Saccharomyces cerevisiae S288C: one gene and its partners. The protein of the gene in region 1 interacts with the protein of each later gene in a biochemical or structural test. Each region holds a gene or a part of one and is shown on either strand. Other genes may lie near its edges.

Evidence for each region.
Region 2: the proteins of SNC2 (region 1) and SED5 form a complex in vitro, tested with the Saccharomyces cerevisiae proteins (3 studies listed by BioGRID).
Region 3: the proteins of SNC2 (region 1) and SEC9 form a complex in vitro, tested with the Saccharomyces cerevisiae proteins (5 studies listed by BioGRID).

The regions. Positions count from the first base shown.
Region 1 is NC_001147.6:930,053-933,133, forward strand, and holds SNC2 (SNAP receptor SNC2), read right to left. Parts: upstream 1,030-3,081; coding exon 682-1,029; downstream 1-681. Other genes in the region: MYO2 (myosin 2), read left to right, coding at 1-393; ATP-binding cassette multidrug transporter PDR10, read left to right, coding at 1,751-3,081. UniProt on the Saccharomyces cerevisiae protein: SNC1 and SNC2 are vesicle-targeting proteins essential for normal secretory traffic between the Golgi and the plasma membrane. They may also be involved in vesicle fusion.
Region 2 is NC_001144.5:194,950-198,527, reverse strand, and holds SED5 (t-SNARE syntaxin), read left to right. Parts: upstream 1-2,055; coding exon 2,056-3,078; downstream 3,079-3,578. Other genes in the region: aspartate transaminase AAT2, read left to right, coding at 443-1,699; ESCRT-III subunit protein SNF7, read right to left, coding at 3,354-3,578. UniProt on the Saccharomyces cerevisiae protein: Required for vesicular transport between the endoplasmic reticulum and the Golgi complex. Acts as a target organelle soluble NSF attachment protein receptor (t-SNARE).
Region 3 is NC_001139.9:509,191-512,790, reverse strand, and holds the start of SEC9 (Sec9p), read left to right. Parts: upstream 1-1,788; coding exon 1,789-3,600. Other genes in the region: nicotinamide-nucleotide adenylyltransferase NMA2, read right to left, coding at 59-1,246. UniProt on the Saccharomyces cerevisiae protein: Component of a SNARE complex that may be the effector of SEC4 function in exocytosis.

The DNA of each region.
Region 1 (3,081 bases):
CTACTGCAAGTCCGTAAGTATACTATCGAAGACATTGATATCTTAAGAGGAATTTGTTATTCGCTAACACCTGCACAATTGCAAAAATTGATTTCACAATACCAGGTGGCAGACTATGAGTCTCCAATTCCACAGGAAATCTTAAGATACGTTGCTGATATAGTTAAGAAAGAAGCTGCGTTATCTTCATCAGGTAATGATTCTAAGGGTCACGAGCATAGCAGCAGTATATTTATCACTCCAGAAACAGGTCCATTTACTGACCCATTCAGTTTGATAAAGACAAGAAAATTTGACCAAGTAGAAGCCTATATACCAGCGTGGTTATCCTTGCCCTCAACTAAGAGAATAGTTGACCTTGTTGCCCAACAAGTCGTTCAAGACGGCCACTAAAACTGATGGCGCGAGAAACAAAATTGTACATGAATGCTAAAAAAAGAAATGACAAAAAAAGAGAAAAAAAAAAATGAAACTACATAGTTAATTAATAATAGAAGTATTTGTCAATAGTATGATAATGAAATCGATATTATGGAAGATATTAACCGCGCGCCGTATTAGTGTACACTATATTAAACTACATTTTGCTTCTTACTGAATTTATAAATTATGATTATATTATTATTACTATTATGACTACTGTATATATTTTTTAGAATTAGCATCGGGAACCGATGAGCGTTAGCTGAAATGGACGACGATAGGAACGATAATTACCACTAGTAAAATAATAACAACTAAGAATAAACACATTCTCATTTTTAGATCTTTCCACCACATTTGCTTTCTGACCCTGTTGGCGCCTCTCTTGAATCCTTGTGCGGAGATAGCCAAGTTATCAGCTTTGTCCTCAATGGATGTTAGCCTTTCACCACGTTCAGCAACCTTGTTGATATTATCTCTCATTATTCCCACCGTGTCATCAATCTCTTGTCTCAAAGCAGCAGTCTTGTTTTGGGAATTTGGGTTTGCGCCTGAGTTACTCTCCTCTGGAGGCACATATGGATCGTATGGCACTGATGACGACATCGTTGCGCGTTCTTATTTTGTATTTGGAAGTGTTTCGAATGTATGCCTGACTTACAGATACTATTCACTGAGCAGATAGTTTACCTTTCTATAAAATATTAAAGGCTGTTTCAACCAAAACTTGAAGGAAAACTAACTGGCTCCCCGCTTTTGCATCTTTTGGGTGCGACAACTGGTGTTTGTTTGGTTGCGCTGCACCATTCGCGCTATAATGCCAAAATCCGAAGAATTTTGAGCCACTTTTGCGGAAGACAGGGAGAAAAAATAAAAAAAAAGTCACGCGTATATCATGTGACCAAGATCACTATAAACGCTCCGTGGAATGCGCTTTTAGGGCGACTGAATGATTCCATGGTCATTGTTACAGCCGCCCGTGGCTTTGTTCCACGGACTGATAAAGGGATACGCTAAGACCAGAAAAACCCTTAATATTCAATATAGTACAGTACTACTACAGAATTGGTCGGCATATTTTTATTTTGTTCGTATTAATAATACACCTGCTGTCATCAGTACCAATAATTTGATAGGTTTTCCCCACATAGTGCGCCTTATGTAAGTATATAAGGAAGGACGGTTGGGCAAGCATCTTACTTTCTTATCTCTCCCCGTGACAGAACCATAGAAGATATCTAGCGTTATTATATTTCTATACTTAGTAAACGTTTCCGGTATAGTAGAAAAATCAAACAATAATTTCTGGTCTTACATAGTTGTTAGGATGTTGCAAGCGCCCTCAAGTTCAAACTCGGGTTTGAATCAAGGAAATGCTGCGCCGGACGGCCCACCTAACGAAACACAGCCGTACGAAGGCCTCGACGCGGCAGCTCAAGAAGAAATAAAAGAATTGGCAAGAACGCTGACGAGCCAATCTTCCCTTTTATCGCAAGAAAAGCGTATTACCGGCACTGGCGACCCGAATACACTAACTGCTGCTTCTTCATCGTCATTGAGCCGGTCAATTTTCGCTAGTGATATCAAGGGAGTTAACCCAATCCTTTTGGACGTCAATGATCCAGACTACGATGAGACATTGGATCCTCGATCAGAAAATTTCTCGAGTGTCAGATGGGTACGAAATATGGCACAAATATGCGAGAATGATTCGGATTTCTATAAACCGTTTTCATTAGGTTGCGCCTGGAAAGATTTGAGTGCCTCCGGTGATTCTGCCGATATAACATATCAGGGAACATTTGGTAATATGCCCATCAAATACTTGAAAATGAGTTGGAGGTGCATATCCCGACGTCTTTTCCACCGGACACATGGCAAGAGTGAAGATAATGACTCCGGTTTCCAAATTTTGAAGCCGATGGACGGATGCATCAATCCGGGGGAACTACTTGTTGTGCTTGGACGACCCGGTGCAGGATGTACTACGCTGCTGAAATCTATATCTGTAAATACACACGGATTCAAGATTTCTCCGGACACAATCATCACGTACAATGGATTCTCCAACAAAGAGATCAAAAACCATTACCGTGGTGAAGTGGTCTACAATGCAGAATCAGACATTCACATCCCGCACTTGACAGTATTCCAAACTTTATACACAGTGGCAAGACTGAAGACACCAAGGAACCGAATCAAGGGTGTCGATAGGGACACATTTGCCAAACACATGACTGAAGTGGCAATGGCAACTTACGGACTGAGCCACACTGCAGATACAAAAGTGGGTAATGATTTTGTTCGTGGTGTATCCGGGGGAGAAAGGAAAAGAGTTTCCATTGCTGAAGTGTCTATATGTGGCTCGAAGTTTCAGTGCTGGGATAATGCCACGAGGGGCTTAGATTCTGCTACCGCGCTGGAGTTCATCAAGGCCTTGAAAACGCAAGCCACTATCACAAAGTCTGCAGCCACTGTGGCCATTTACCAATGTTCTAAAGATGCCTATGATTTGTTCGATAAAGTCTGTGTTCTTTACGATGGTTACCAAATCTTCTTTGGCCCAAGTAAGCAGGCCAAAAAGTACTTTCAAAGAATGGGATATGTGTGTCCCGAAAGGCAGACCACAGCAGATTATTTGACCTCTATTACTAGTCC
Region 2 (3,578 bases), on another chromosome or scaffold:
CTCAATGTAGGATATTTCATTTAACTGCACTAGTGGCATCTATTATACACAATTACTCCAGTAGCTGCCACAAAGCACCCAAAGATAAGAATAATTACGGAAAATGAAATTTTTACTTTGAATATGATGATATGGGCATTGCAGGTTTGTAGTAAGAGCAATTTACAGGAATTCCTGACGGAATATTAATGTTTTCTTACTGTTTAATGCGATGTACATATTGTCAATACTAATGGTCACCACTGGAAATGGCTATCTTTCGTCTTCGTGAATAACGATCGCCGAGAGTCGGACCGAGTGAGTCAGCGTGATCGGCCTCATTTACCTTGTCGCCTTGCACGTCGGTATATAAACGTATGTGGATACTTTAAGAAGGGAAAGCGCAACCGTCCAAATTCTAATGAACAAAAGAACACAGGAATACAAGAACACAAGAGCGATAATGTCTGCCACTCTGTTCAATAACATCGAATTGCTGCCCCCTGATGCCCTTTTTGGTATTAAGCAAAGGTACGGGCAAGATCAACGTGCTACCAAGGTCGACTTGGGTATCGGGGCCTACAGAGACGACAACGGTAAACCATGGGTCTTGCCAAGTGTTAAAGCCGCCGAAAAGCTAATTCATAACGACAGCTCCTACAACCATGAATACCTCGGTATTACCGGTCTGCCAAGTTTGACATCTAACGCCGCCAAGATCATCTTCGGTACGCAATCCGATGCCTTTCAGGAAGACAGAGTAATCTCAGTACAATCACTGTCTGGTACGGGTGCTCTTCATATATCTGCGAAGTTTTTTTCAAAATTCTTCCCAGATAAACTGGTCTATTTGTCTAAGCCTACTTGGGCCAACCACATGGCCATTTTTGAGAATCAAGGCTTGAAAACGGCGACTTACCCTTACTGGGCCAACGAAACTAAGTCTTTGGACCTAAACGGCTTTCTAAATGCTATTCAAAAAGCTCCAGAGGGCTCCATTTTCGTTCTGCACTCTTGCGCCCATAACCCAACTGGTCTGGACCCTACTAGTGAACAATGGGTTCAAATCGTTGATGCTATCGCCTCAAAGAACCACATCGCCTTATTTGACACCGCCTACCAAGGGTTTGCCACTGGAGATTTGGACAAGGATGCCTATGCTGTGCGTCTAGGTGTGGAGAAGCTTTCAACGGTCTCTCCCGTCTTTGTCTGTCAGTCCTTTGCCAAGAACGCCGGTATGTACGGTGAGCGTGTAGGTTGTTTCCATCTAGCACTTACAAAACAAGCTCAAAACAAAACTATAAAGCCTGCTGTTACATCTCAATTGGCCAAAATCATTCGTAGTGAAGTGTCCAACCCACCCGCCTACGGCGCTAAGATTGTCGCTAAACTGTTGGAAACGCCAGAATTAACGGAACAGTGGCACAAGGATATGGTTACCATGTCCTCCAGAATTACGAAAATGAGGCACGCATTAAGAGACCATTTAGTCAAGTTGGGCACTCCTGGCAACTGGGATCATATAGTAAATCAATGCGGGATGTTCTCCTTTACAGGATTGACTCCTCAAATGGTTAAACGACTTGAAGAAACCCACGCAGTTTACTTGGTTGCCTCAGGTAGAGCTTCTATTGCTGGATTGAATCAAGGAAACGTGGAATACGTGGCTAAAGCCATTGATGAAGTGGTGCGCTTCTATACTATTGAAGCTAAATTGTAATGATTAAATAATACTTATACTTACCTATTACACTCTTCATATTTTTTTTAATGTAAAGAAAGTAAAAAAAAAAAAAAATAAAAAAAAGAGAAATGCTCTTTCTTTACCTTCACAGGTGTATTATTATGTTGTTGTAATATCCGGGTAGGTTTATTGATCGAGGCGAGGCGAAAGGGCATATTCGAAACAATCATTATGATAATAATGTCAATATAGAAATTGAAAAAAAAAAAAAAATCCTACCGCCGCATCGACGCTCCTGTTAGACCTTTGAACGGAAATCACCCACTCTTTACTGTATATATTTTATTCCACCTCTGTTTCCAACGACCATTTCACCATACCACACAACTCCCATGAACATAAAGGATAGAACTTCAGAATTTCAACAAAGTGTGTTGAGTTACAAGAAAAGAAACAAAAACTTTAGAGAACAGCAGAGGGAACGTCTACAAGAGAAAGAAAGTGAAAACTTTGCCAACAACACAACCGGCAATGGGAAAAGTGTCTCTGAGTTTCAAAAAAAGGCTTCTGGCATAGCTCACGAAATTTCATCCACCGCACAATTATTATCGAAATTAGCAGTGCTGGCCAAAAGGAAACCGATGTTCAATGACAACCCTGTAGAGATTGCCGAGCTATCATTTTTGATCAAAAGGAAGATTTATGCCATCGAACAAAGTTTAGTGCAATTAAGTCAGCTCAAGAAAACCGACGTGAATGGCAACACATCAAATCAATCTTCTAAGCAACCTAGTGCCGTACAGCACTCCAAAAATGTCGTAAATCTTTTAAACACGCAAATGAAAAACATATCAGGAAGTTTTAAAGACGTATTGGAGGAAAGGCAACGACTAGAAATGGCTAACAAAGACAGATGGCAAAAACTAACCACCGACACTGGACATGCACCAGCTGATGACCAAACGCAAAGCAATCACGCCGCGGACTTGACCACGTATAACAACTCCAACCCATTCATGACCTCACTACTAGATGAATCCTCAGAAAAGAATAACAACTCGTCCAACCAAGGAGAACTGTCTTTCCCTCAAAACGACTCTCAACTAATGTTAATGGAAGAGGGACAGTTATCCAATAACGTCTACTTACAAGAAAGAAATAGGGCGGTGGAGACAATAGAATCCACAATCCAGGAAGTGGGAAATCTCTTCCAACAACTGGCCTCCATGGTTCAAGAACAGGGCGAAGTAATCCAAAGGATTGATGCAAACGTAGACGACATCGATTTAAACATTAGTGGTGCTCAAAGGGAACTTTTGAAATACTTCGACAGGATAAAGAGTAATAGATGGTTAGCCGCAAAGGTTTTTTTTATAATCTTTGTATTTTTCGTTATTTGGGTTTTAGTCAATTAAAAGCAAAGTAAAAGAAAAAAAGATACATATTTGATTATTTATTTTTTTTCCTTCTCTCATCTTTTCTGTACAATAATATAGCAATAACAGATAAAAATAATGAATGCACATTCCCTTCTATACCTATGAACGCAAAAAAAAAAGACAACAAAAAAATAAAAACTATTAATTATGACTTAGCATTATGAACTTCATGTATATAAAAGAGCGTATACAGAACATGGAAAGTAAGAACACCTTTTTTTTTTCTTTCATCTAAACCGCATAGAACACGTTCAAAGCCCCATTTCTGCTTGTAGTTCTCTTAATGCTTTTTCATCTTCATCTTCTTCATCCTCTTCCTCTTCCCCGTCCTTCACAGAGTTCTCACTTTGTTTAATTTTATTACTTGGAACACTAGGTAGTGAGACTTTGTTCTCTGAGATAGGCGCCGCATTAACATTATTATTAACGATCTTGGACGTTTCTTGGTTAGCATTTTCTTGAGCCAGCATGTCCAA
Region 3 (3,600 bases), on another chromosome or scaffold:
CACCTTGAAGAGGAAAGTGGTAAATTTGAACTGCTGCAGTATCAGAGTTGTAATAAACTCACTCTTTGCTATCCAAGACCTGCTTGACCGGTTCACTTTGATTAATGTATAGATTATACTCTTGGATGTAACGGATGACAGAGTTTGGAAGAAGATATTGAACTGACATTCCACGTCTGATGAAAAGCCGCACTTTCGTAGAGGAAATATCATTGTAAATAAGTTGTTTGATAATAAGGATATTTCTTCTGTGTTCATACATGATATCATGGGAAAGCAAGAAGGACCTAACATCAGAACCAGTCCTTTCCACGATCAAACATCCATAATTACCCAAAATATGGTGCAGGTCTGAATCAGCCCACACATGAGGCTCGCCCATGGATTCGATAAGATCACCGCCTGCCAATAACATGATTTTTACGCCCATTTTTTCACCATCTACAGTCATGATTCCACCTCTCTTGATATTTATTTCATGATTGAAATGGTCCAAGACTTTTGCTGTCCTTGTATAACTTGATTGTAAAGATTCCCAGGCATCAACCATTAACCAAGATGATGTCCGCTCGCATGCTAATTCGCACATGCGGACACGATGATAAGCTGGGGCTAACCCTCGCTTTTGATAGTTATCACTTACTGGAGAAAAATAACCACCAACCACTTCAAAACGCGTTTGCTCATTGATATCATCTAAAGCCATTTCAAACATTCTCAAATGTAGGTATGTTATGGGAGAAAATGATCCACAAGCAACGATGATCAGAGGCAGTTTTTCAGGATCTTGTAACTTTTTCGTCAATCTGTGTACAGGAAATTCGTAATCTTCAATAGTTCTGGCTTGTCTTACAATTGTGTGAGGAACTTCTTCCAAATCAGCAATTTGGCTCTTCAGTACCCCCAAATTCCCAGTCATCGTAACATCCTGTAGAGTAGCGTCAATTCCATTCGATTGCCCTTCACTTTCCTCCTCCGATGATACATCCCGAGATAGTGGCTGGAAGTCACTAGTATTTAATGGAATATGGTCCATTCGGTTGCTTGAGTTGGCGTTTTTTTTCCTTGACGACAGGGTTTTGTAAATGTCGAGATTGAAAGGAGCATCGATCGAAGAATTATAATCAGCTAAAACATATGGAACTATGGGTCCAGATTTTGGTATCGTATGTGTTGGATCTGGCGGTGGTTGTAGTTCTTCATTTGGCTGTGGCGGTTTAAAATCGGGTGCTTTGGTGGGATCCATTACGTAATAAGTGCACTTTTTCTTGCCTTCTCCACTTTAAACTCTCTCTCTCTCTCTACTTAACAGTGGAGGAACAGTGACTAAGGTAGAGTATGATTGTACTATAACTTACAGTCTACTGTCGTCACGCTGGGTCAATTTACATTGTTATTTTTCTTGGAGACGACACCGTCACATATGGACAGCGAGTATGGTAGATGGTATAAGCAAAAAATGGCCAGAAACAGGCGATTATTTGGTAAAACGTAAAGATTGATCAAGACGATAAGTTTGAGAGATTGTGAAGCTAAATAAAATCGTATTGCGAGTATTTTACATTCCATATACGAATAGTACGATATCCATGTGGGGTGCGACTCAGAGACTTTCTATTACCCGTCTTTCAAAAAGAAATGAGATACGTTGATCCTGCTTTTAACAATTTCGAATCGTTTGCGTAATTATATGACTTGCTCCGGTGTATAAATAAATAAAGTACATTCTTGGTACTCCTGAACCTAGCCTGGAGTAACTCGGAATAATACACCATTGACACCAAAAGAATGGGATTAAAGAAATTTTTTAAGATTAAGCCTCCAGAGGAAGCGACACCAGAACAGAACAAGGATACTTTGATGGAACTGGGTATTAGTGTCAAAAACCCTAGCAAGAAAAGAAAAGAGAAATTTGCCGCCTACGGTAAATTTGCAAATGATAAAGCTGAAGATAAGGTATACGCGCCACCAGGTTATGAGCAGTATGCTAGGCCACAGGATGAACTTGAGGATTTGAATGCTTCTCCCTTAGATGCCAATGCTAACGAGGCAACTGCTGGTTCTAATAGAGGTTCAAGTGGCACGCAAGATCTCGGAAATGGAGCAGAATCCAATTCTATGCAAGATCCGTACGCTATCGAAAATGATGATTACCGATATGATGACGATCCTTATGCAAGGTTTCAAGCTAATAAAAGTAATGGGAGAGGTAGCGTCAATGCTGCGCCTTATGGTGATTATGGAGGGGGGTACAATGGCACATCTCTGAATTCATATAATAACGATGGCCCGTATAGTAACCAAAATACTTCAAACAGCTGGGTGAATGCGAATGGCCGTAATAGTTTAAATCATTCAAACAGCACTTTAAACGTAGGGCCTTCGAGGCAAACAAGGCAACCGCCGGTTTCAACGTCGACCAACAGCTTATCGCTTGACCAAAGAAGTCCCTTAGCAAACCCGATGCAAGAAAAGAGAAATCCTTACGCTGATATGAATAGTTATGGCGGGGCGTATGACTCCAATACTAATAGATCTAGCGGTACTCGACAAGGAAGCTCCAAGAATGCAAATCCATACGCCTCTATGGCGAACGACTCATATAGTAATGGAAATTTGAACAGGTCTGCAAATCCATATTCTAGTAGAAGTGTGCGTCAACCGCAATCGCAACAAGCTCCAATGACTTATACGCCCTCTTTTATTGCTTCTGATGAAGCAGCACGCAATAGTGAAGTTGATTTAAATGAAGAACCTAGAACAGGTGAATTTGATTTTGAAGAAGTTTATGCTGACAAGTCTGCAGAAAATAGAGCGGCATTAGATGAGCCTGATTTGAATGCAGTAATGACGAATGAAGATTCAATAGATTTAAATGCGTCCGAAGTTGATCATAGTTCAAGACAGCAGCAGCAGCAACAGTGGTTCATGGATGAGCAGCAACAGCAACAGCAACACTTTAACGCAACAAATAACCAATATGGAGATCAAAGGGGTTACAAAACATTTGAAGAAATACAAAAAGAAGAGGAGGCTCGCCAGCAGCAGGAAGAAGATGAAGCAGTAGATGAAATCAAGCAGGAGATCAAATTTACGAAACAGAGTTCCGTAGCCTCTACTAGAAATACACTAAAAATGGCTCAAGACGCCGAAAGAGCAGGTATGAACACATTGGGTATGCTGGGTCATCAAAGTGAACAATTGAATAACGTAGAAGGAAACTTAGATTTAATGAAGGTGCAAAATAAAGTTGCAGATGAAAAAGTTGCAGAACTAAAAAAATTGAACCGTAGTATATTGGCTGTCCATGTTTCTAATCCGTTTAATTCCAAGAGAAGGAGAAGGGAGAGGGAAGAGCAGCTGAAGAATAGGAAAATTGAAGAAAAATTAATGAGAGAGCAAACAAGTCAACAATTGTCTCAGTCCACTCAAAGAATAGAGGGTGCTATGAACGCAAATAATAACATAAGTGAGGTGCGGGAAAGATATCAGAGGAAGAATGTTCTAGAAAAGGCAAAGAGATATCAGTTTGAGAATGATGAAGAAGATGACGAAATGGAATTGGAAATTGATAGGAATTTGGACCAGATTCAGCAGGTT